Xenopus tropicalis: one gene and its partner. The protein of the gene in region 2 purifies or fractionates together with the protein of the main gene of each other region. This does not show direct contact. Links are inferred from orthologs where the notes say so. Each region holds a gene or a part of one and is shown on either strand. Other genes may lie near its edges.

Region 1 (10,551 bases), on a different chromosome or scaffold from region 2:
TAACTTATTTTCCTCCTCCAAATGCTTTCAAGTCATTTCCACTTAAAGTAAAACTGACAGCTTCAAACATGATCTCATTCTTTCAAAGATCCTTGCCTTTTTTGTTATCTTTCCTGGTTTTTGGTTAGTGCTTGCTTTAATGTAGATATAGGCCTCCTTGATTTTTCTTCTGGGGTCAGCAAATTAAACCTTAGTAGACTAAATTAAAAGAGTAAAACGTTTGCCACCATTTTATTGGCCTTATTATTATTATTATTATTCAACTTCTACTGATAGAGGAAGGTGAAAAAACTGAATCTTTTAAGCAGTTTTCAGTCTGCTGCAGAAAAATCTTCCTCGTTCCCTAATGTAACTGGGCAGTAATGTATTTCTTATCTGCTAAAAAGGCATCTAACCTTTTCTTAAACTGACAACTATGCAGATTGCTACTTATAACTACATTATTACTACCCATAATGCCATTCTCCAGGATATAAGCTTGAATGTGATCTCTTCAAGTAAAACTGTAATCTGGCTTCTCTGTGATACAGAAAGGAAAAGGGATTTTATTCATTCTTACTACAGCTTCTTCCTGTTTTCTGGGTGTTAAATTATAATTAATATACAAAAACACACCCCCTCTTTTTCTATTTACACTGCTCCTTTAAAGCAAAGTATGCCTCAATACTTACCCCCTCTATCCCCTATTTCCTGTTATAACTGAAACAAATATGTCCCTTATTTATTTTAGCTGCCCCTTCCCTTCCAGTACATACACAATGACACTTGCCTGGTCACATCCCCCCATCTGGTCATGTCCCCCTCTCCCTGCTTGCTCTAAGGTAGGAAAGCACCCGAGGAGGGGGGATTTCTCTACAGCCATAGCAGAAGCAGACCTAGAGGGGCCTTTTCCTTTATAGTTACACCAATTGACATTGAATTGAAGGCACTAAGCCCACTTATGTTCAATTAATGCCAAAATAAAGTTTCATAGTTTGTATAACCCTATTTCAACTCTCCTATCCCCACTGTGAGATGGAAAAGGACAAAGAAAGCTATAATAAAACTTTATATTACATATTAACTTTATTCCTCTAGAGCAAATGGAGATTAATATTAATATAGAATGTTCTGCCAGTGTAGAAAATGCTACTACTCTGCAATTCCCAATAAACCTTAGTTAATTAGAATACACTAAACACATACTGTGAGATATTTTAGTGCATCGAGTAGTTAAATGGGTCAAAACCTGCACACTATATTTATGTTTTTCTTCTTATAATGTACACAGTACACTTAAATGTTAATGCAATGTGTATAAAATAATAAAAAAATATTACATCATATGGTTGCCATCAAATTTTCTAAGCAAATTAGCTATTTATTATTCTTACTATATGCTCATAAGGCCTTCAAACAAGTCACTAGATTTATTGATAAGTACATGGTATTCCTCCATCTGATTAACACTGGTTAATTCCTCCATTCCTCCTGATTAACATTGACATTTACAAAACTTGAATCTGCATGGAATCTATAGAGCAGTTTGGTAAAAGTTTCCAGCAATCTTATTGTTTAAACAGCAAAAAAATATGTTCTCCCTCTGTATATTATTTCCAATAGGCACACATTTCAGTGGCAAGGTTTAAATCTTTCAGCAGTTTTTCACTTGTAAGCGAGACATTTATTTATATTTGCTTACTAAACAGAGCTGAAAACTTTGAGACATTTTTGACAATAAAAATAAAGTGATAGCTGTGGCCCGCTCTCATTTTTCTTTTTGCCCTGTCATCGGTTAGTGCTTTGGGGTTTATGTGCTGGAAAGATGTATTTAAGTATAGAAAAGTCATAGAAATTTGATTGAGTTGCTCTATGGTTCTGATTTCAAAATTGTAAGGTTAACGTCAAAAATGATCATTATATGAATGCTCAGATACTGAGATAAAAAATAATGAGGTTCAGCAATTAGAGGAAAAGCTTTAAAGCAAAACTCTTCCCCTGAACAATGTAGGTCTCTACATTAATATATTGCATAAATAAGCTCATATGTAAAATACTGTTTCAGCTAAATAAACCATTTTCATAAAAATATACTTTTTTAGTACTGTAGTATGTGCTTTGGGTAGCCCTAAATAGAAAATTGTGATTTTAAGTACTATGGGCTGCCCGCTGGGAGCATACAATTTACTGGACACACATACATGCTAGGTCACATGAGCTCATTTAAAGTTCTGTCTTTTGCTCCCACGCTTCTTCCTGTTACAGGTGCATTATTTCCTGTCAGGTGACTTCTGAGGGAGAACACGGACCATCACAAAACGGTGGCTCAAGTAAAAATAGAAGAACGGAAATATTAACTGCTATTCATATTCATATTCCAGTGTGGTAATGCTCTTTAACAGGCCACTTAATATTATACAAATTATCTGTTGGTTAAGTATTCATTCTGGGGATATAGTTTTAGAGAGCTAATTCATATTATAAGTAGGGTAACAACAGTGTTTTATTTATAATCTGGAATTTTGCTAGTCCAAAACTACCAGATAAGTGGGGATCTATAAACAAGTACATAGTTATGCAGGATTTCTGGGGAAGACACTTCACTACAATTAGTATGATGAACAGAAACTGAAGCTTTACATCAAGCAATTAAAATAGAAGTATGCTTACCATGGCAGTCCTTGATTTGATAAACCAATCAAACCTAAACTGAGGAGCATTTCGCACGCACTGACGTAATTCCTCGTATACATTTTCCTTATCAAAGCCCATTTTATGAAGCATGCATATGAGAAACCTGTCCTCTTCTTCTGTATAGTTTTTGCCTTTGTTTGTGCCGTACTGGATTCTCAGCTGATGAAAAGGAGCTTTGTACCTTGCAATCTAAACACAACAAAGAACAATATTCTTATTAATCCCCACATTAATTCACCAAAAAGTGAAAACCTCCAGCCTACCTTCTAGAAATCACTATAAACACATATTTAATGTTCCGAGCCAAATGCCTTTCCCTAAAATACTAAGGAAAAAGTGTGTTTAGCACATGAACTCATGCTGAAAAGGGTGTGTACTTCCCCTCTAAAATAATTATCAGTTCTGCTTGAAGAATTTAAAGGGAATATATTTCTTTATATGGCCCCCCCCCCTTTTTGTCATAAGCTCATTCAATTGGGCTTATGTAGAAAAGGTACACAAATCTTAACTTCCAGATTTAAACAGAAATGTGTTTTTTAATTCCTCCGTTTTAGTGGAAACCATGATCGTCTACTTGTGTTTTACAGACCAGTTCCTTACCCCGCCTTTAGTCTTACAGACTGATCCAACCCCTCCATCACCTTATCCCATTGTGAAGCGATTGCTTCTGGCACTTGAAGTCCCACTACTTTTCAGAGAATTCATGCACCACCCGCTATGGATAGCAAAAGGAGTTCAAGTCCCAGAATTCATCACTTCACAATGGGACAAGGTGATAGGTGGACAGGAGTTGGATTACACACATGTACTGCAATAGATTTATATTTATTTCTTGAAGTTCAGATAGCGTTTATGCACTTTTTATACATAAACCCGAGAGAAGCAACTTCTGTCTGCAGATTTACTGTTAGAGCCCTTAGCGCCCCTGTACATTTTAAGAACGTGTACTCAATCCTTTCTTATTGTGTTATGACTACTGTATCAGTCTTTTGCATCTTTTCAAATATTTTGTTAAAAACCTAAATGGAATTTACTATATATATAAATTTATCTATAACCAGCTTATGTAAACAGCAGGATTAGCAACTGTTATAACTACTATAAATATAGTGGCAGTATTTGCTGGATTAAAGTGATACTGACATGAAAAAATTACTTCTGAGAATATGAATCTACATAAAAAGTTCCCTATAGGTCATGTTTTTTGCTAATAGGGCTGCTTTTGTAAGTAATTGTTACCTGAAGTTTTGCCAACCTGACTGTCCCTTCTCAGCCTGTCAGTTATAGCTTCTAATGATAATGGACTCCTGCAGCACTAATATGGCCGCCCCCTCATAGAGGTACATGGGGGATCAGATAGGGAATGTAAAAGCACTGGGCAAATACTTTTAAGGCAAAATTATAAATAGCATGCAAAGCCAGTGTTATGATAGATGTAAAAAAGGTTTTATTTCTGGTGTCAATATCTCTTTAAGACAATGTCAGATGTAAAATTCAAACTCTGGAATCGTAAAGGAAATGTTTTCAGTTACTTAACACTTTGCCGACCGTCAGGAAAGTTTAGCAAACTGACATTAATTAAAGCAGATGAATGTGTCAGTTGCTAATAATGTTTGACTGCTTTGGTCAGCAGAACATTGTTCTGTTATGTGGGTTGTAAGAGCTCAGCAACAGCACTGAGCTCCAACACCCCACAGAATCAATAAAGCCCAATAATGAATATATAATGAAAAACATTTATCCATGTTAGAAAATAGCTTCTTAAAGGAGAAGGAAAGTCAAAATCTATTAACCACACTATTAAATAGTACTACTATTGCTATGTAAAAACACTATATTTCTAGCTTGCCTAATGAAAGATTTACAGCGATACACCTGCTACATTCTACATACTTGTTTCAGTGAACGGCGCCTCCATCTTTAACAAGGGATGCCCACTCCTCTTTCCTCACTGTCTCTACTGCGCATGCGTCCCCAAAATCCTCCATACGCCCCCCTGCTCCCCCCTGCGTCCTTCTGTGACAACCCCCCAGCAGCTGCAGTATGTGTACACTAGCAGCACCACCACCGGCCCATCTACTACCACTTTGCCCGAAAAAAGGTGACAGTAATGCATTCGGCCCAAGATTAGGTAGCTGCTGCAGTTAACCACTTTAGGACAGGAATGTCAAGCTACATCCTTGAATTCTCAATAAACTTCAGCAAGTCGAAGGATAATTAAATTACAGTAAGATCGCTCCTAAATGAGAAGCATCAGAGAAAGTCAGCAGTATTAAACAGAGGCAAAATACCTAGCACCACCACCCCTCGCCCCCCCCCACCGGCTTCTACCTTTACAGTGCCTTCTACCTTCACCTGGAGCTGCGTCCACTGCCACCCGCTCCGCTCGCATCCCCCCTTGCCTCTTCCCCTACCAGCACCTGTGTCTCATGCTGCAGATGCTAGGGGGAGCCTCCTGTTTCTGCGCATGCGCCGCCTACAGTTCTGAGTCGCCGAGTCTGGGGAGGAGCGATGCATTATGGGAATCTTCTCTACCCAGCTTAGCGTTTTTCCTTACTGTTTGGCTTCTGATCCTCTAAACGGGAGAAATATGGGGAGACTTAAGGGCACTATTGAGAGAACTGAAGGTATGCCTGCATTTTGAGATTAACTCTTTACTAGCCTTTCCTTCTCCTTTAAACCTGAAATGATCATTAATGCTCTATAAAAAAATACTAAAAGCTATAAATTCATTCTTTGAGTAAATATAGTGGATTGCAATACTTTGGCATCCAAGGCTTTCTTGATACTGATCCTTCTTTGAATTCTTGCTTCACCGCGCTCTATCTGAGCCATAATCTTCTCAATGTCTTGAAGTTCATTACAGCGTTCCCAAAACACTCCTAAAAAGTAATCAGATAGACACGTTATATTAAATAAGTGAAAATGAAGTCCAAAATTCACAGGGGGGAGTGATATATTCGGTAATAAAGATGGCGGATGACTTTGACGTAGTTGGCCAGCTTGCAGTATATTGCAGTATATGGACAAATAATTCCTATTTTGCTTAAGGGGGAGGGCATTTCTTAGTAGTTCAATGCACAGAATGTCTTAATGTCCTATATATATATATATATATATATATATATTTATAGTGGGTGAGTGCAGAGGACCCAGACCTGATACACATGTCAAAATGATCAAACATTATGGTCAAAATTGGTTAAAGTTCCCAACCAAATTTAGCTAAAGATGGAAAAACAAGGCTACATAAATATAAGGGATCTCTTAAGTAAGCAAACCTGAATAATCCATAACTTCTTCTGGTGTCTTTCCTTCCACCTCTCTTGCAATGTTATCAATGTCATCACGGCCATACTTCTCATTAGCTTTAATAAACTGGTTAAAGTCTCGTTTGTTCCAATTTGTGAAGCCCTATCAACCAGAACAAATAAATAAGTGCCATTATGTTTCACCAAAATATTTCCACAGCAACTCTACACATGTGCAAAGCTTTAACCCTCCTTGTTCTTTAGAATTACGGGACCTGATTGGTTGCACCCCGTGCGTGCACGTAGCGTTAGTACACACAGGGCGCAACAGTATAAAAGTGAGGGCTGCAGCGGGGAGCTGGGGACAGACGAACTGAAGGACGATGAAGCAGGCGGAAGTAGAAGGTCGGAGCTGGGGGGAGCTGTAGGGAGCTACAGGATGCTGAGGGGGGGAGCTGTAGGATGCTGGTAAGGGAGGAGTTGGAGGATGCTGAGGGGGGGAACTGCAGGATGTTGGGGAGTGGAGCTGGAAGATGCTGAGGGGGGGAAGCTACAGGATGCTGAGGAGTGGAGCTGGAGGATGCTGAGGGGGGGAGCTGGAGGATGTTGGGAGGAGGAAGCTGGAGGATGCTGAGGGGGGAAACGAGGATACTGGGGAGGGGGAGCTGGAGGATGCTGGGAGGGGGAAGCTGGAGGATGCTGAGGGGGGAAATGAGGATGCTGGGGAGGGGGAGCTGGAGGATGCTGGGAAGGGGGAAACATGAGAACCAACTGTCAACTTTTGCTGCAGATTTCATCCCACTCCTACAGGTACTATAAAGTTCTATAGGCTGAATCACTAGCTCAAATTAAATTGTTATTTGCCTGACCTGACATCTATAATATCCCTATCACCTATCCTAACAGATGGATGGTAAGTTAACTCTTTCCCCCTGAAAAAGCTCATTGTGCTTTTATATGTTTGTTGTTTTTTTTTTACACTTACTATTTTTTTTACTATTTTATTTCTTTTGTCATTGTTTTGTTCATTTCTAGTTAGTTACAGTGGGGCCAATGTTGTGTTACAGTGCCAGTGTTATAGTGCCAGGGCCTGAATATCTGCAATCAGTACCCACTGCATCTCACTGCATATAATGTGCTGGTTTTGTAAATATAGACTGCGTCTCACTGCATATAATGTGCTGGTTTTGTAAATACAGACTGCGCCTCACTGCATATAATGTGCTGGTTTTGTAAATATAGACTGTGCCTCACTGCATATAATGTGCTGGTTTTGTAAATATAGACTGCGTCTCACTGCATATAATGTGCTGGTTTTGTAAATACAGACTGCGCCTCACTGCATATTATGTGCTGGTTTTGTAAATACAGACTGCGTCTCCCTGTATATAATGTGCGTGGGGTGTCAGTACCCGCTGCCTTTCTTGCTATAAAACTAAAGTAAACACATCTAAAGGGGGGGTTCACTTTTAAGATAACTTTTAGTATGTTATAAAATGGCCTATTCCTAGCAACTTTGCAATTGGTCTTCCTATTATATTTTTTTTATAGTTCTTGAATAATTTGCTTTTCTCTTCTGCCTCTTTCCAGCATTCAAATGGGTGCCAAAAATTATTGCTGTGTGAGGCTACAATTTTATTATTACTGTCCTTTTTTTTTATTACTTATTTTTCCATGCAGGCCCCTTAACAATTCATATTTCCATCTCTTGTTTAAACCACTACCTGGTTGCTAGGGTAAATAAAATCCTAGCAACCACATAGCTGCTGAAATACCAAATGGAGAGCTGCTTAACAAAAAGCTAAATAACTGAAAAACCATTAAAAATAAAAGAGGAGCACTTGCAAATTGTCTCAGAATATCAGTCTACATTATATTAAAAGTAAATTTAAAGATAAACTACCCCTTTAAGTAGTGCTGGGCGGTATACCGGTATATACCGAACACCGGTTTTTTTAAAAAAGATGATAAAAAATTTTAACTTACCGGCATACCGGTGTGGGCGCCTCCTGGCAATTTTTCTTACTATTTCCGGGTTGTGCGCGCTGACGTTACGTGCGCGCTGACGTCACGCGCACGCTGACGTCACGCGCGCAACCCGGAAATAGTAAGAAAAATTGCCAGGAGGCTCTGTGAGCTGTCGGGGGTGCCTGCGGCTGCCTGGCCCGTAAGGTTTATTTATGTGAAGGGGATGGGGGGGTGTTTGGGGTTGGATGGGGGGTTGGATGGGGGGGTGTTTGGGGTTGGATGGGGGGGTGTTTGGGGTTGGGGGGGGGGGTGTTTGGGGTGGTCACGTAATCATGCATGGGGAAAAAAAAATACCGTCAAATACCGTGATACCGATATAATAAAAAAAATACCGTGATATAAATTTTTGGTCATACCGCCCAGCACTACCTTTAAGCTAACTGATCACAAACACAAATATTTGTGGGGAGTGGGCCATAGTATGAGGACACTGGGGGAGGACCAGCAATGTTTTAGGGGGCCCTGGGCTGGCACCAATGCAAAATGTAACCCCTGGCTACCAATGTTTAGGGGGGTCCTGGCTACCAATGTTTTAGGGGGCCCTGGCTAACAATGTCTGTGTGTCCTTTGTACTGATGGCAGGGGTCACTGGGGGAGGGGCCATTGGGGGGCAGGGCGTGGGAGGAGGTGGGGCAGAAAATTTTGTTGTGAGGGGACCCATGATTTCTGATGGCAGCCCTGCCCCTGATATTTATTCTTTTTGTCTGCTTAATTCGTATATACACTAGCAGAGAAAAGGTGATTCACTGCCTTCTTGTCAGGGCTTAGCGGCTTACAGGTTGGAGTTGGGACCAAGTTTGTGGTTGTTTCCAGGCAAAAGATCAGGGCAGGCAGCTGTCAATTGTTGTGTCAATTCTATAGCCCTTCCAGATTGGGGGTAGAGTATTGGTTGGGTGTACTAGCCATATCCAATTCCCCTACATTTAACCACTTTTGCAGTGTAGATTCTCTACTCCAAGAACAGCTTTCCCAACATGGTAAAACATCTTGACAACTGATGAACAATACAGTTCAAATTCATGGGCAAAAACTTTAATGCAAAATGCGCCAAATATAAAACATGCAGTTATAGTGGTTTTGTCAAGGGAAAACACATTTTTTTAAACGTATCAGTAAATTGAGTTGCTCCAGCAGAATCCTGCAAACAGATTTTTTTTTTTATATTTAATTTTAAAATTTGACATTGGCTGGACATGTTTTTAGTTTACGGGGTGCCCTCGGCCATGTGACTTTTGTTCTGATAAACTTTAGTCGCTCTTTACTGCTGAGCTGCAAGTTGGAGAACTATCACCCCCTCCCCAGCAGCTGATAAGCAGAACAATGGAAGGTAACAGGATAACAGCTACCTGATACCTGCATTCCTGCATTGCTAAAAATGCTCCCATGCCCCCCAGTGTTAGATATGAGAAAGCTCAGAATTAGGCAAAATGCACTGAGATCACTGTCTAAACACCAATATTACAGAGAAAAAAATACATTTGTTGGTTCAATAATAACATTTTAAATGGTAGAATGTATTATTTGCTATGTAAACAGTGTAATTTAAAAATAAAAAGTAAACCTTAAAAGTCATGACAGAATCCCTTGAAGAAACTGACTGCTATGCACCAAAAGTATGCAAATACAATTTAATCTTCTTTTATATATAATCAGTATTTTAGTCTTAAAGGAACAGTAAACTAAAAATATGAAAGTATTAAATCTAATATACTTTTGCTCTGCATTGGTGTGTTTACTTCAAAAACACTACTATAGTTTATACAAATAAACTGCAATATAGCCACGGGGGCAGCCATTCAAGCTTAAATAGGGATAACTGGTACAGTTTAAATAGTAGATAAGCTCTGTAGTATACAATGGGTTTAGTTCTCGCACAGGAGCATAATTGTTTTGATTGTACCTGTGTAAGAAGTTTTTCCTTCTCTTCAGACTCTTCAGAACAGAGAGGCTCTGCTTCATCAATCTTTCTCTGCTCTTCTTTTTGTATCTGAGATGCATTTGGGAGGTCTGAGCTTCTAGGGACCTTACATAAAAAATGAAATAATTTGTGAAGCAACATTACTTTATAGTGCAGTCTGAGCAAGACAGTCGTAATGAGTTCTCACCATAGCAATTGTTCCAAAAACTATTGTTTGGCTGCTTTACTAACCCTACGTTGGCCATAACAATTTGTACAACTGCTACATACATTTTATAAACACATTTTATATCAGTACTTGCCTCTCGCATTACTGTTGAAACAATAAAGAAGAATGAAGTTCGAGCAAACATCAAAAACACTATTTTTTTGCCAATGAGAACTTCTGGGGCATTACAAAGAATTTGTGCACTGCATAGTATGACATAAAAATACACTAGATTTTACATTAAGATATAAAACTACAGATAAAATGAGTCACACAATTCTGAAGCTGCCCTAATGTTTTTTCTTACTTTGTATTTGAAGGTAATAGAGTGTCCTCTAACACTCAAACAGAGATATTAATATATACTCTTCTTCGTGTTGGAATTTCATTATGGCTGACATACAGGGTCTAGCAGATAGCTAGTAAACAAGTCTATATGTGGATAGCATTTTGAGTTACACCACACAGTAAAG
Region 2 (11,238 bases):
GGGCCTGATTTTCAGTACACAGAGGCCCAAACAGCCCCCCCCATAGGCCCAATAAATAGTGAGTGTCTATAGCACCTTACAGCAGCCCCTCTGGCATTTGCCTGAACCCACAGATTGCCAGTCCGGGCCTGATTTTCAGTACACAGAGGCCCAAACAGCCCCCCATAGGCCCAATAAATAGTGAGTGTCTATAGCACCTTACAGCAGCCCCTCTGGCATTTGCCTGAACCCACAGATTGCCAGTCCGGGCCTGATTTTCAGTACACAGAGGCCCAAACAGCCCCCCATAGGCCCAATAAATAGTGAGTGACTATGGCATCTTACAGCAGCCCCTCTGGCATTTGCCTGAACCCACAGATTGCCAGTCCGGGCCTGATTTTCAGTACACAGAGGCCCAAACAGCCCCCCAGCAGCCCAATAAATAGTGAGTGTCTATGGCACCTTACAGCAGCCCCTCTGGCATTTGCCTGAACCCACAGATTGCCAGTCCGGGCCTGGACAAGGGGGACCCCCTATGGAAAGGATGCATTTGACAGACACTGGCAATGTATTTACACCTTTTATTCTTATCAATATAAAAAAAGCCTCAGTCAGTATTTTACATCACTAAGAAGGGATACACTCCCAGAAACTCTCCCGCGGCTACTCCCTGCAACCCCTGGGAGTGCAACTGACCTGGAACAGGCCGGAATGTTCCTTCTCTTCATAAAAAACATCTGTTGCAGCCCAGCGTTGGCTTTGGCTCCGGAACCAGCACCGGGCTCTAGATACTAACAAAGGAACACAAGCACTGTGGGAGGGGGCGGGGTTTATACAGGGCCTATTTACACAAACGGTGGGGGGGGGGGCAACACGGGCCGGGATAATCAGCGAGATAAGAGCGGCAGGTCCCCTGAGTTCATGATGAAACTGGGATCCAGGTTTAGGCTATCTGAAAGGGAGAGGGAAGAATATTATTATGGGTGAGAGAAAGGGAGAAGAAAAATGGGCCCCCGTCATGCACCGTATAACCCCCCCCATCATGCAACCAGTCGCTGGTTTATAGAATGCAAGCATCGGATGGAAGGGTAGCTTACAATCTAAGGGCCCTATCACTTTCACACATAAGAGCCAATCAGAAGCCAGTTAACCTGCCTGTATGTATGGGGTGGGAGGAAACAGGGGTACCTGCAGGAACCCAATGCAATAATAGGGGGAGTATAAAAACTCCATCAATATAGTCTCCTCTAGTAGCTCCCCAGATGAAATACCTGGCCAGTTAAGGCCCCCGTTCAGCACCTTAGCCTGAGTTGGCCATTCTATATGCCTGCACTCACAGTAATGCATGTAGGAGAGAAGGAGAGAAAGTGGTGGGTGGGCTGGGGGGTACATGTCAGGGGGGAAGGGAGTTTAGCTCAGAATAGGAGAGAGAGGGCAGGCAAAGGAAGGGGAAACATTTGCACGTAGCACACCCTGATCAAAGTTGAGTTTTTTCACCGTACTTCTGTCGCCCAAGCCCTCTATATCCACCAGGTCACTGTTTGCATCGGAGTCATTAAGCGCGCTGAGAGTCACATCTGCTGGAACGAGAGAGGGGAGGGCACACGGGGGGGTGGGGAGTTAAATCTAAAGGACAAACTAAGAAAGACAACAAAGAAATCTTCCCATAAGCCCCTGAACACAGCCATAAGGGAATATTTCTTTATTGTCATAGAGCTGCGGTACCCCTAGATTTATACAGCAGCCTCATTAGGCAGTGGCCCTTCTCTGTGCCCTCCGGGCCACCGTACTCACAGTACACACTCGCTGCCAATTCACCCACCTGATGACTTGCGCTTCTTCATGGCTCCTTGTGAGCCGTCAGGGAGAGAGGTGCCACCCACGACCTGCGGCGCCGACACGGACATGTTGGCGGGCACAGAGGAGGACACGGGCGACGCTTTCTTTATCGACTTCCTCGGGGAGTCGCTGGTCAGAGGGACGCCGTTATCATCGTAAATCTTCCTCTTCACGGCGAACTTAATCTGGGCCCTGGCGGAGGACAAAAGGGGCATGAAGGAGAGGCAGAGAGTATAAGGGGGAAAAAAGGGAGGAGGGGCAGAAACACAAGGGGCAAGGGACCCTAAGCTCCCTGACTGATGTCCTAAACCTACATTGGCTGCTGGGAAAGGGGCCAGTGTGAAGGCACCGTCGCACTTGGCGTGTCTAGCAGCTGTCACATGTCTGGAACTGCCCAATACCTGGTCGGTATAAGCACTAGAGTTACGTGCCAATAGGCACCCCCTACAATCCCTAATATAGAGAAACAGCAACATAGCAGCTCCCTCCCCAGAGCCGGCCTTTCCAGACACAGAGCTGCAAAGCCCCTGAGGCTGCACTTAAAGGGGATGTAAACCCAAAAATGTGCAGTGAATATATATATATTGGGAAGTGTCATTTTCTTTCATAAGGTAACGTCGTATTGTTGGGTTTATATCCCCTTTAATCCTTCCCATTTTTCTGGAAAGTCCGCCGGCTTTCCTTACACTGTCCTCTCCTTGATAACTGAGCTGATCTGATTTAAGTCTTCCCCGAAGCGTTTGACAGCCGCATGCAACATCTGAATCTCTGTGTCTGTCCAGCGGGCCCTGGGGAGACACAACAGGAAACCAGGAGTCACACAGGGGGCATGGGAGAAAAGGGGGGGCATACATACTGGAATGATGGGTAAATGGGAGGGGCCCGTAAGGTGAGGGGTTCCCCATATCTAGGTGGGTTTTACCTCACAGATACACTTATACCATGTGACACATACACACAGAATGATGGGTAAGTGGGAGGGGCCTGTAACAAGTAGTTTATATGAGGGGTTCCCCATATCTAGGTGGGTTTCACCTCACAGATACACTTATACCATGTGACACACACACACAGAATGATGGGTAAGTGGGAGGGGCCTGTAACAAGTAGTTTATATGAGGGGTTCCCCATATCTAGGTGGGTTTTACCTCACAGATACACTTATACCATGTGACATAGACACACAGAATGATGGGTAAGTGGGAGGGGCCTGTAACAAGCAGTTTATATGAGGGGTTCCCCATATCTAGGTGGGTTTTACCTCACAGATACACTTATACCATGTGACACATACACACAGAATGCTGGGTAAGTGGGAGGGGCCTGTAACAAGTAGTTTATATGAGGGGTTCCCCATATCTAGGGGGGTTTCACCTCACAGATACACTTATACCATGTGACACATACACACAGAATGATGGGTAAATGGGAGGGGCCTGTAACAAGTAGTTTATATGAGGGGTTCCCCATATCTAGGTGGGTTTCACCTCACAGATACACTTATACCATGTGACACATACACACAGAATGATGGGTAAGTGGGAGGGGCCTGTAACAAGTAGTTTATATGAGGGGTTCCCCATATCTAGGGGGGTTTCACCTCACAGATACACTTATACCATGTGACATATACACACAGAATGATGGGTAAGTGGGAGGGGCCTGTAACAAGTAGTTTATATAAGGGGTTCCCCATATCTAGGTGGGTTTTACCTCACAGATACACTTATACCATGTGACACACACACACAGAATGATGGGTAAGCGGGAGGGGCCTGTAACAAGTAGTTTATATGAGGGGTTCCCCATATCTAGGTGGGTTTCACCTCACAGATACACTTATACCATGTGACACATACACACAGAATGATGGGTAAGTGGGAGGGGCCTGTAACAAGCAGTTTATATGAGGGGTTCCCCATATCTAGGTGGGTTTCACCTCACAGATACACTTATACCATGTGACACATACACACAGAATGATGGGTAAGTGGGAGGGGCCTGTAACAAGTAGTTTATATGAGGGGTTCCCCATATCTAGGTGGGTTTCACCTCACAGATACACTTATACCATGTGACACATACACACAGAATGATGGGTAAGTGGGAGGGGCCTGTAACAAGTAGTTTATATGAGGGGTTCCCCATATCTAGGTGGGTTTCACCTCACAGATACACTTATACCATGTGACACATACACACAGAATGATGGGTAAGTGGGAGGGGCCTGTAACAAGTAGTTTATATGAGGGGTTCCCCATATCTAGGTGGGTTTCACCTCACAGATACACTTATACCATGTGACACATACACACAGAATGATGGGTAAGTGGGAGGGGCCTGTAACAAGTAGTTTATATGAGGGGTTCCCCATATCTAGGTGGGTTTCACCTCACAGATACACTTATACCATGTGACACACACACACACAGAATGCTGGGTAAGTGGGAGGGGCCTGTAACAAGTAGTTTATATGAGGGGTTCCCCATATCTAGGTGGGTTTCACCTCACAGATACACTTATACCATGTGACACACACACACACAGAATGCTGGGTAAGTGGGAGGGGCCTGTAACAAGTAGTTTATATGAGGGGTTCCCCATATGTAGACAGTTATTACAAGAGGAGGCCATTACCCAGCAGGAGAGGAATCAGTCACAGGATGGAGTTGCATGGTGAGCTCTCCCAGTTTGGTGAAGGCAGCTCCGGCAGCAGAAAAGATCTCCCCGACCTACAGGGACCAATAAAACACAAGCAACATTATCAGCCAAAACGGGACTTTGTTTGTCCCTAATAAGGCACATGCTTAGCATTCTAGTGACTGACAAATGGGTGCTATCTGTGCTATCGCTTCTCGGCCTTTTGGCTAAGATCAAGTGTAGTATCTGTTCTTAGGAGGGTTTTGGCTGGCCCTCCACATAAGACAGTCTACCTTGATCCTCTGGCCAAAGGGCCGGTAGCATGAAAGCCCGAGGTGCGCCGTGCCCTGGGAGTAGCAACCCCAGGGTGCCCGAAAAAGCACAGTGAGGTGGTGGCTCACGCTGCACTAAGTACGGCACTTTGCACAATGGCACTTTAACTTTTATGCTACACTCGCTTCTTTTGCCCCGGCCTTTTGGCTAGAGCAAAGAAAATGTTTATAATTCCGGCCGTCAGGCTGGGGCACTTTTTTATTTTCTATTTATGCAATCCTTGTGTTGTCACTGCACTTTGTTATGTGTGACCCTTCTAATAGGTTTGAGGGTGCAGTTGCCCATTCGGGTATGCCCCACAGACCAAGGGGAGGACTGTGTGGCCATCTGGTTCCAGTCTCTCCCCGAGACGTTGTTTTTGTACCTCGGAGGAAGCCTCGGCGGAATCTGGAGGAAAGGGACTCTCCCTAGCCTTGCGGCGAAGGAGAGTCCGAAGACCTTTGCCCCCGTGAGCCTTTTGGTCCGGGGGTCGGGGATGTAAAGGGGCCCTCCCTAGCTTCGGCGAAGGAGGGCTCGAAGACTCGTTCTTCGCCGCGCCTTTGGCCTGTGGATACGAGTACAGAGGCTATCGTCCCTTTTGGGGCTGGCCAACTATGCACCTTCGTGCACTTTGTGTGGATTTTGCACTTTTTTGCACTTAGGAAGAAAGCACGACCTTGGGCTTTTAAAAAAGAAAAAAAAAAGAAAAAATGGGTGCTATCTGTGCCGAGTGCAGCTCAGAGCGCCACCTAGTGGTACAGATAATACAAGAGAGTGGTGGTAATATAACGCTACATAGGACTCTATTATTGTATGTATGTATAACTTTATTTATAAAGCGCCACAAGGGTACACAGCGCTGTACAGTCTTACAGAATACAAAATTACACACAGGGAGGGCAAGTGATATAATAAATAAATACAATAAATACATATATGTATATATATATATAAGTGCCATGTGGTATGAGACACAGTAGGAAGGAGGTCCCTGCCCCGTAGAGCTTACAGTCTAAGTGGTTGGGTAACATACAGGCACAAATTGGAAGGTAAGAGTGCACCAGGTATGGGCATTTGCCCTTAAGCGCAGGACTGGGATTATTATTATTATTATTATATAGCAGCAAGTAACACCGAGGACACGTCAACCCGACAAATTATTTATTATTTATTAGGCAAAAAAATATATATTTTTGGGGTTGACGTGTCCTTTAATGGGGGGGGGTTGCTATGGGCACCTCTGATACTGAAGCCCTACTGGTTAGACAGAATAAGGGGTTAATAAGATGGCCATAGTAATGCTGTACACTACCCACCCTGTGCTACTGCTATTGAACTTCAACTCCCAGTATCCACCACCAGCTATAAACTGAAGGCTCCTATATTAGTATAAATGAGCAGTTTTCCTCTGTCCTTATGTATGCAGGCTATTATCTAGTACTTAGACAATATATGGCTTTATTTATGTTTCAACTACAATTCCCAGCATACCCTAGGCCAGAAACAGGTCACATGCTCCCGCCCCGCCAATGAGGAGTCAAGTCCCCATTCCCGGGTACCTTGGTGGAGGCTGACGTCATGGCTGCGGGGAGAGAAAGGCTCACTGTTACCGAGCTGACCGGCAGTCACAACCGCTGCTGTTATTGTCGCGGCGAAGCCACTGCTCCTTATTCCCTCTGTGCGCTCGCCTATCCGCGGCTTCCTATTGGTTGTGTGTATAAAGTTCCTTCGCTGGTATTGGTTCGCGATGCTGGCGCCGCAACACGGACACGAAAAGCGTCTGGTACCGTCCTTACAATTGGACGACGGGTACGGACTTCCCTATTGGCTAAAGACGTAGTCAATCGTGATTCGTTCCCGCCTTTTTCATTCCATTGGAAGAGCTAACGCGTCTTTATATCCCTATTGGATAAACTACTAATGGATAAATCTTATTGGTCAGTGCGTCGTTTCGTCTTTTCTGTGAGGTATTCTGATTGGCTGAGTGTACCCAGAGCCTTTTTTTGGCAGTCATACAATAATTATCCTCTCAGATTGTACCCAGAGCCTTTTATTAGCAATGATACAGTAATAAAACTATGATAAGCAATGATAACCAATGGGATTCATCTGGGAGGGTTTCTAATAGACTGTGGGACATGGCTGCTGGGATTGGCACAGGTGAGAGGTGGGCACTGATGTTGGGGATCAGGCCTGGCTCACAGCAGGGGGGGGGGGTTACAGTTCATCTGAAAGGAGAAGGAAAGTCAAAATCTATGAAGCACACTATTAAACAGTACTACTATTGCTGAGTAAAAACACTATATTCCTGGCTTGCCTAGTGAAAGATACACCTGCTACATTCTACATACTTGTGTCAGTGAACGGCGCCGCCCTTTCCCTCACTGTCTCTACTGCGCATGCGCCCCCAACATCCTCCCTGCGCCCCCCGCATCCTTCTGTGTCTCCCCCCCCCCCCCAGCAGCTGCATCCTTATGTGTATCTACTTATGTGTATCCATAACATACACGCTCGCGTCCTCGTCTGCACAACGCCGCCCCCCTCTTGTCACACATCACCCCTCTGGTTCACTCGCTTCCTTTTGTCAGTTCCCCCCCATTCGCTCCTTCACTCCAGTCCGTTCCCCCCTTGCCTCTCCCCCCACCATCGCCCCCACCGCTCGCTTGCTACGGTCCGCTCGGAACTCTCCCCCCTTGCCTCTCCCCCCACCAGCGCCCCCGCCGCTCGCTTGCTACGGTCCGCTCGGAACTCTCCCCCTTGCCTCTCCCCCCACCAGCGCCCCCACCGCTCGCTTGCTACGGTCCGCTCGGAACTCTCCCCCTTGCCTCTCCCCCCACCAGCGCCCCCGCCGCTCGCTTGCTACGGTCCACTCGGAACTCTCCCCCCTTGCCTCTCCCCCCACCAGCGCCCCCGCCGCTCGCTTGCTACGGTCCGCTCGGAACTCTCCCCCCTTGCCTCTCCCCCACCAGCGCCCCCGCCGCTCGCTTGCTACGGTCCGCTCGGAAACTCTCCCCCTTGCCTCTCCCCCCACCAGCGCCCCCGCCGCTCGCTTGCTACGGTCCGCTCGGAACTCTCCCCCCTTGCCTCTCCCCCCACCAGCGCCCCCGCCGCTCGCTTGCTACGGTCCGCTCGGAACTCTCCCCCCACCAGCGCCCCCGCCGCTCGTTGCTACGGTCCGCTCGGAACTCTCCCCCCTTGCCTCTCCCCCCCACCAGCGCCCCCACCGCTCGTTGCTACGGTCCGCTCGGAACTCTCCCCCCACCAGCGCCCCCGCCGCTCGTTGCTACGGTCCGCTCCCACTGGGGAGCAGAGGGTGCTGAATGGAGAGCGTGCCTGCTTGTGCGCGCCCACTGCTTATCCACATTGTTCACAAGTCGTCAAGTCTGCGAAGGAGAGAGGCATCATGGGAACTTTATTCACACAGCTCAGCGATTTTTTGTCCGGTTTGGCTTCAAAACCTGTAAACCATCACTATATGGGGAGACTTAAGGGCACCTTTGAGACAATGGATGGTAGGATTAACTCTTTTGTTGCCTTTCCTTCTCCTTTAAAGGGCTTCAGTTGGGTTAAGGCTCAGAGCTCTTCTCCAGACTATTGTATAAAGTGCAGAATTGTCACGAATGGCATTGTACCCTAGGGTAGGGTGACCAGATGACTTGAAAATTCAGGGACACTTCTAGAAAATCCAGCTGGCAGGGCTGAACTGATTGCAGTTTAATTTAAATACAATCAGTGCTGTCCTGCAACATGTATTTATTAGACGTGTCCCGGAATTTTCAAGTCATCTGGTCACCCTACCCTAGGGTTGCCTCTTCTGCTGGCATTTGCCGCTGAGCAGGGGGTGGGCCCTGATATCTTGGGGGCGGGGTAGAGGCGGGGCTGTGACACCATAGGGCGCTGGAGAAGCAGGGCTGTGATGTTAATGGGCGGTGCTATGACAGTATGGAAACTGGGAAGGAGGTTTTGACCTGGACAGTCCTTCTGAAAACTGGGCTGTCTGGGTCAAAACCAGACATATGGTTACCCTATTGTACCCTGTAGCCTTCAGGTATCACTGGAACCAGGGGCTTAATCCATGGAAACAGCCCCAGCCCCAGCCAATCATACACCTCTACCAGCCAACGTTTCCATTATGCATTCGGGCAGATAGTGTCCCCGTGACTTTCCCATCAGCCTGCCAGCTGGTGAAATGCCATTTATCTCTCCTCAGTCCAATGGCGGCGCCTTTACGCCACTCCAGCGGACGCTTGGCTTTGCCCTACAGTAGTTACGGAGCTGATGTTGCTTCCGGAGTCAGTTTCGGGCGTTCCAGCTGTGGGCACGGCATTAAGAAGTATGTGGATTATTTTCAGCTATACAGTGTATGTGGCAAATCTAATATTGGGCACAATGTGGTGACTGCCCTCTGCTTCATTGCAGCCGGGGGGGTAGGCAGAAGCGAGTAACATAAATGCTTTGATTTTCATGGAGTCAGTATAAAAGATATATTTGTAATTGGGCGCTGTGTGCCATGTGGGGTAATATAGGGACTGAAGTCTGGAAACATTGCCATTCATATGTGAGCATATTCAGTGTGATCTTAAAACTGCAACTTACATTCATTTATATAGTTCGGATAGTTGCAGTTTTAGGCTGCTAATACCAGGATTTGAGCCCAGCAGCTCTCCTGTACTCAGTTAACCCTAGCATTGCTGACTCCCAAAACTATACCTAATAAGCTTAGTGAGGCTGCTTTTGTGAGCAATTTATATTAATTTGCTTCTTGTAGCAGTTTCTGTCAGTTCATTGTTGCGTTTGGATTCCCTTTTGAGTTGTTCTAAAGGGAAAATATACCCCTCTTTTCACATGAGCTCATCCAGTTGCATGAACACTATGGGGGTTATATAATAAAAGGCACTAAGTTTGCCCAGGAGCAGTAACCCATAGCAACCAATCAGCAGGTAGGATTTTAAAAAAAAAAAAAAATCTTATTGGTTGCTATGGGTTACTGCTACTGGGCAAACTTAGTGCCCTTTATTACATATGGGGGTAGGCATCCTTTCACAAATACATATAAACACGGCAGTGTGTCTCTGCTTACAGAACCAGTTCCCATTAGGCCCCTAGTGGTCATGCAGCCCCTCCCTCCCTCACCTTTTCCCACTGTGAGGTGGTGCATTCTGGGACTTTAAGCCCCTCTGCCTTTAGTATGATGTAGAGAGTAATATTCTGAGACCATTTGCAACTGATCTTCATTTTTGATAGTATTTTTAGTTATTTCATTATTTTCATTTAGCTCTCCAGTTTGGCATGTCAGCAGCTATTTGGTTGCTAGGGTCCAAGTTACCTTAACAACCAGCTATTTGGTTGCTAGGGTCCAAGTTACCTTATCAACCAGGGAGTGGTTTGGATGAAAGACTGGTATATGAATAGGAGAGGGGACTGAATAGAAAGTTGCAAAAAGTATCAATAACAGTAAAGCTGGAGCCTCACAGAGCAATAGTTTTTTGGTTGCCGGGGTCAGTGACCCCTGTTTAAAAACTGCAAAGACAAATAATTAAAAAACTATAACAAATAAATAATGAAGACCAATTGAAAAGTTGCTTAGAATTGACTATTCTATAACATAATATGGCCATATTGGTCCATATATAAGATAACATGGCGTTTGGCTGGCACTATAGCGCGCTTAGCAATGGCACCTACCCCCCGTGTATAGGTCTGTAAGCACAGGGGACATGGGTTGGTCACAGAACACTGTCACTTTATTGCACAGTCACATAAATACAAGAACACAATAGGACCGGAGGGGGGGGGGGGGGGGGGGGGGGGGGGGGGGGGGGGTTGGTCCCAGTGGATAATTTCACATGAAAACAAGTTTAGCGAGGGAACGACGAGTAGAACAGCATTTCTCCCACCCATCTGGGGCAACTAGCAGACTGCCCCTGGAGCAGGCAGTTACACGATTTACCCTGCTTGAGGATGGGCATTCCAGTTGCTCTTGCTAGGGGGGCATTGTATGATGGGGGTTTCAGCATGGCAGGCCCTCCAGCTGCTGAAGAACGACACTTATAGTGGAGGCTGGGGGTTGTAGTTATGCAATGTTGCCTATTCATGCTCCTAACAGAAGCAAGTTGCCATTAAAGGTACAGTGCATCCCATGGCTAAACTCCAACTAAATATTGTAAAGGTTGGTTACCCCGGTGTGGCCAAAGGACGTGGCCAAAACACTACACAGGGGGTACCCAGCCCTTAGGGTTCTAACTATCAACAACAGCAATATGGCAATTTCATAAATAACGTGATATTTATTAAATAGCTCTCTGGGTGGGTTGGCCCGTCGGTGGCTTGATTGGAACGTAAGGAAGTCATCGCAGGGTTGGTTCCAGTGTGGATCAGACCACCTTCTGGTTGGACGGGGGGGGAGGTCAGCGCACCATGTATTCTTTCCGTTTATTGAGCCGCACTTGGCAGAAGGAGAAGCCCCCC

Evidence for each region. Proteins that work in one complex are often made in the same cells at the same time.
Region 1: the proteins of c17orf49 (region 2) and smarca1 purify together in Homo sapiens (affinity purification with mass spectrometry; 4 studies listed by BioGRID and IntAct, with this or other methods). This does not show direct contact. The link is inferred for Xenopus tropicalis from reciprocal best matches to the Homo sapiens genes BACC1 and SMARCA1.

What each region holds. Positions count from the first base shown.
Region 1 is NC_030684.2:50,389,148-50,399,698, forward strand, and holds part of smarca1 (probable global transcription activator SNF2L1), read right to left. Parts: intron 9,976-10,551; coding exon 9,853-9,975; intron 6,088-9,852; coding exon 5,955-6,087; intron 5,556-5,954; coding exon 5,437-5,555; intron 2,863-5,436; coding exon 2,650-2,862; intron 1-2,649.
Region 2 is NC_030679.2:142,452,309-142,463,546, reverse strand, and holds c17orf49 (chromatin complexes subunit BAP18), read right to left. Parts: upstream 6,527-11,238; 5' UTR 6,351-6,526; coding exon 6,330-6,350; intron 4,763-6,329; exon of another isoform or gene 4,666-4,762; intron 4,551-4,665; coding exon 4,456-4,550; intron 2,607-4,455; coding exon 2,505-2,606; intron 2,011-2,504; coding exon 1,802-2,010; intron 1,557-1,801; coding exon 1,452-1,556; intron 932-1,451; coding exon 867-931; 3' UTR 547-866; downstream 1-546. Other genes in the region: rnasek (ribonuclease kappa), read right to left, coding at 11,178-11,238. UniProt on the Homo sapiens protein: Component of chromatin complexes such as the MLL1/MLL and NURF complexes.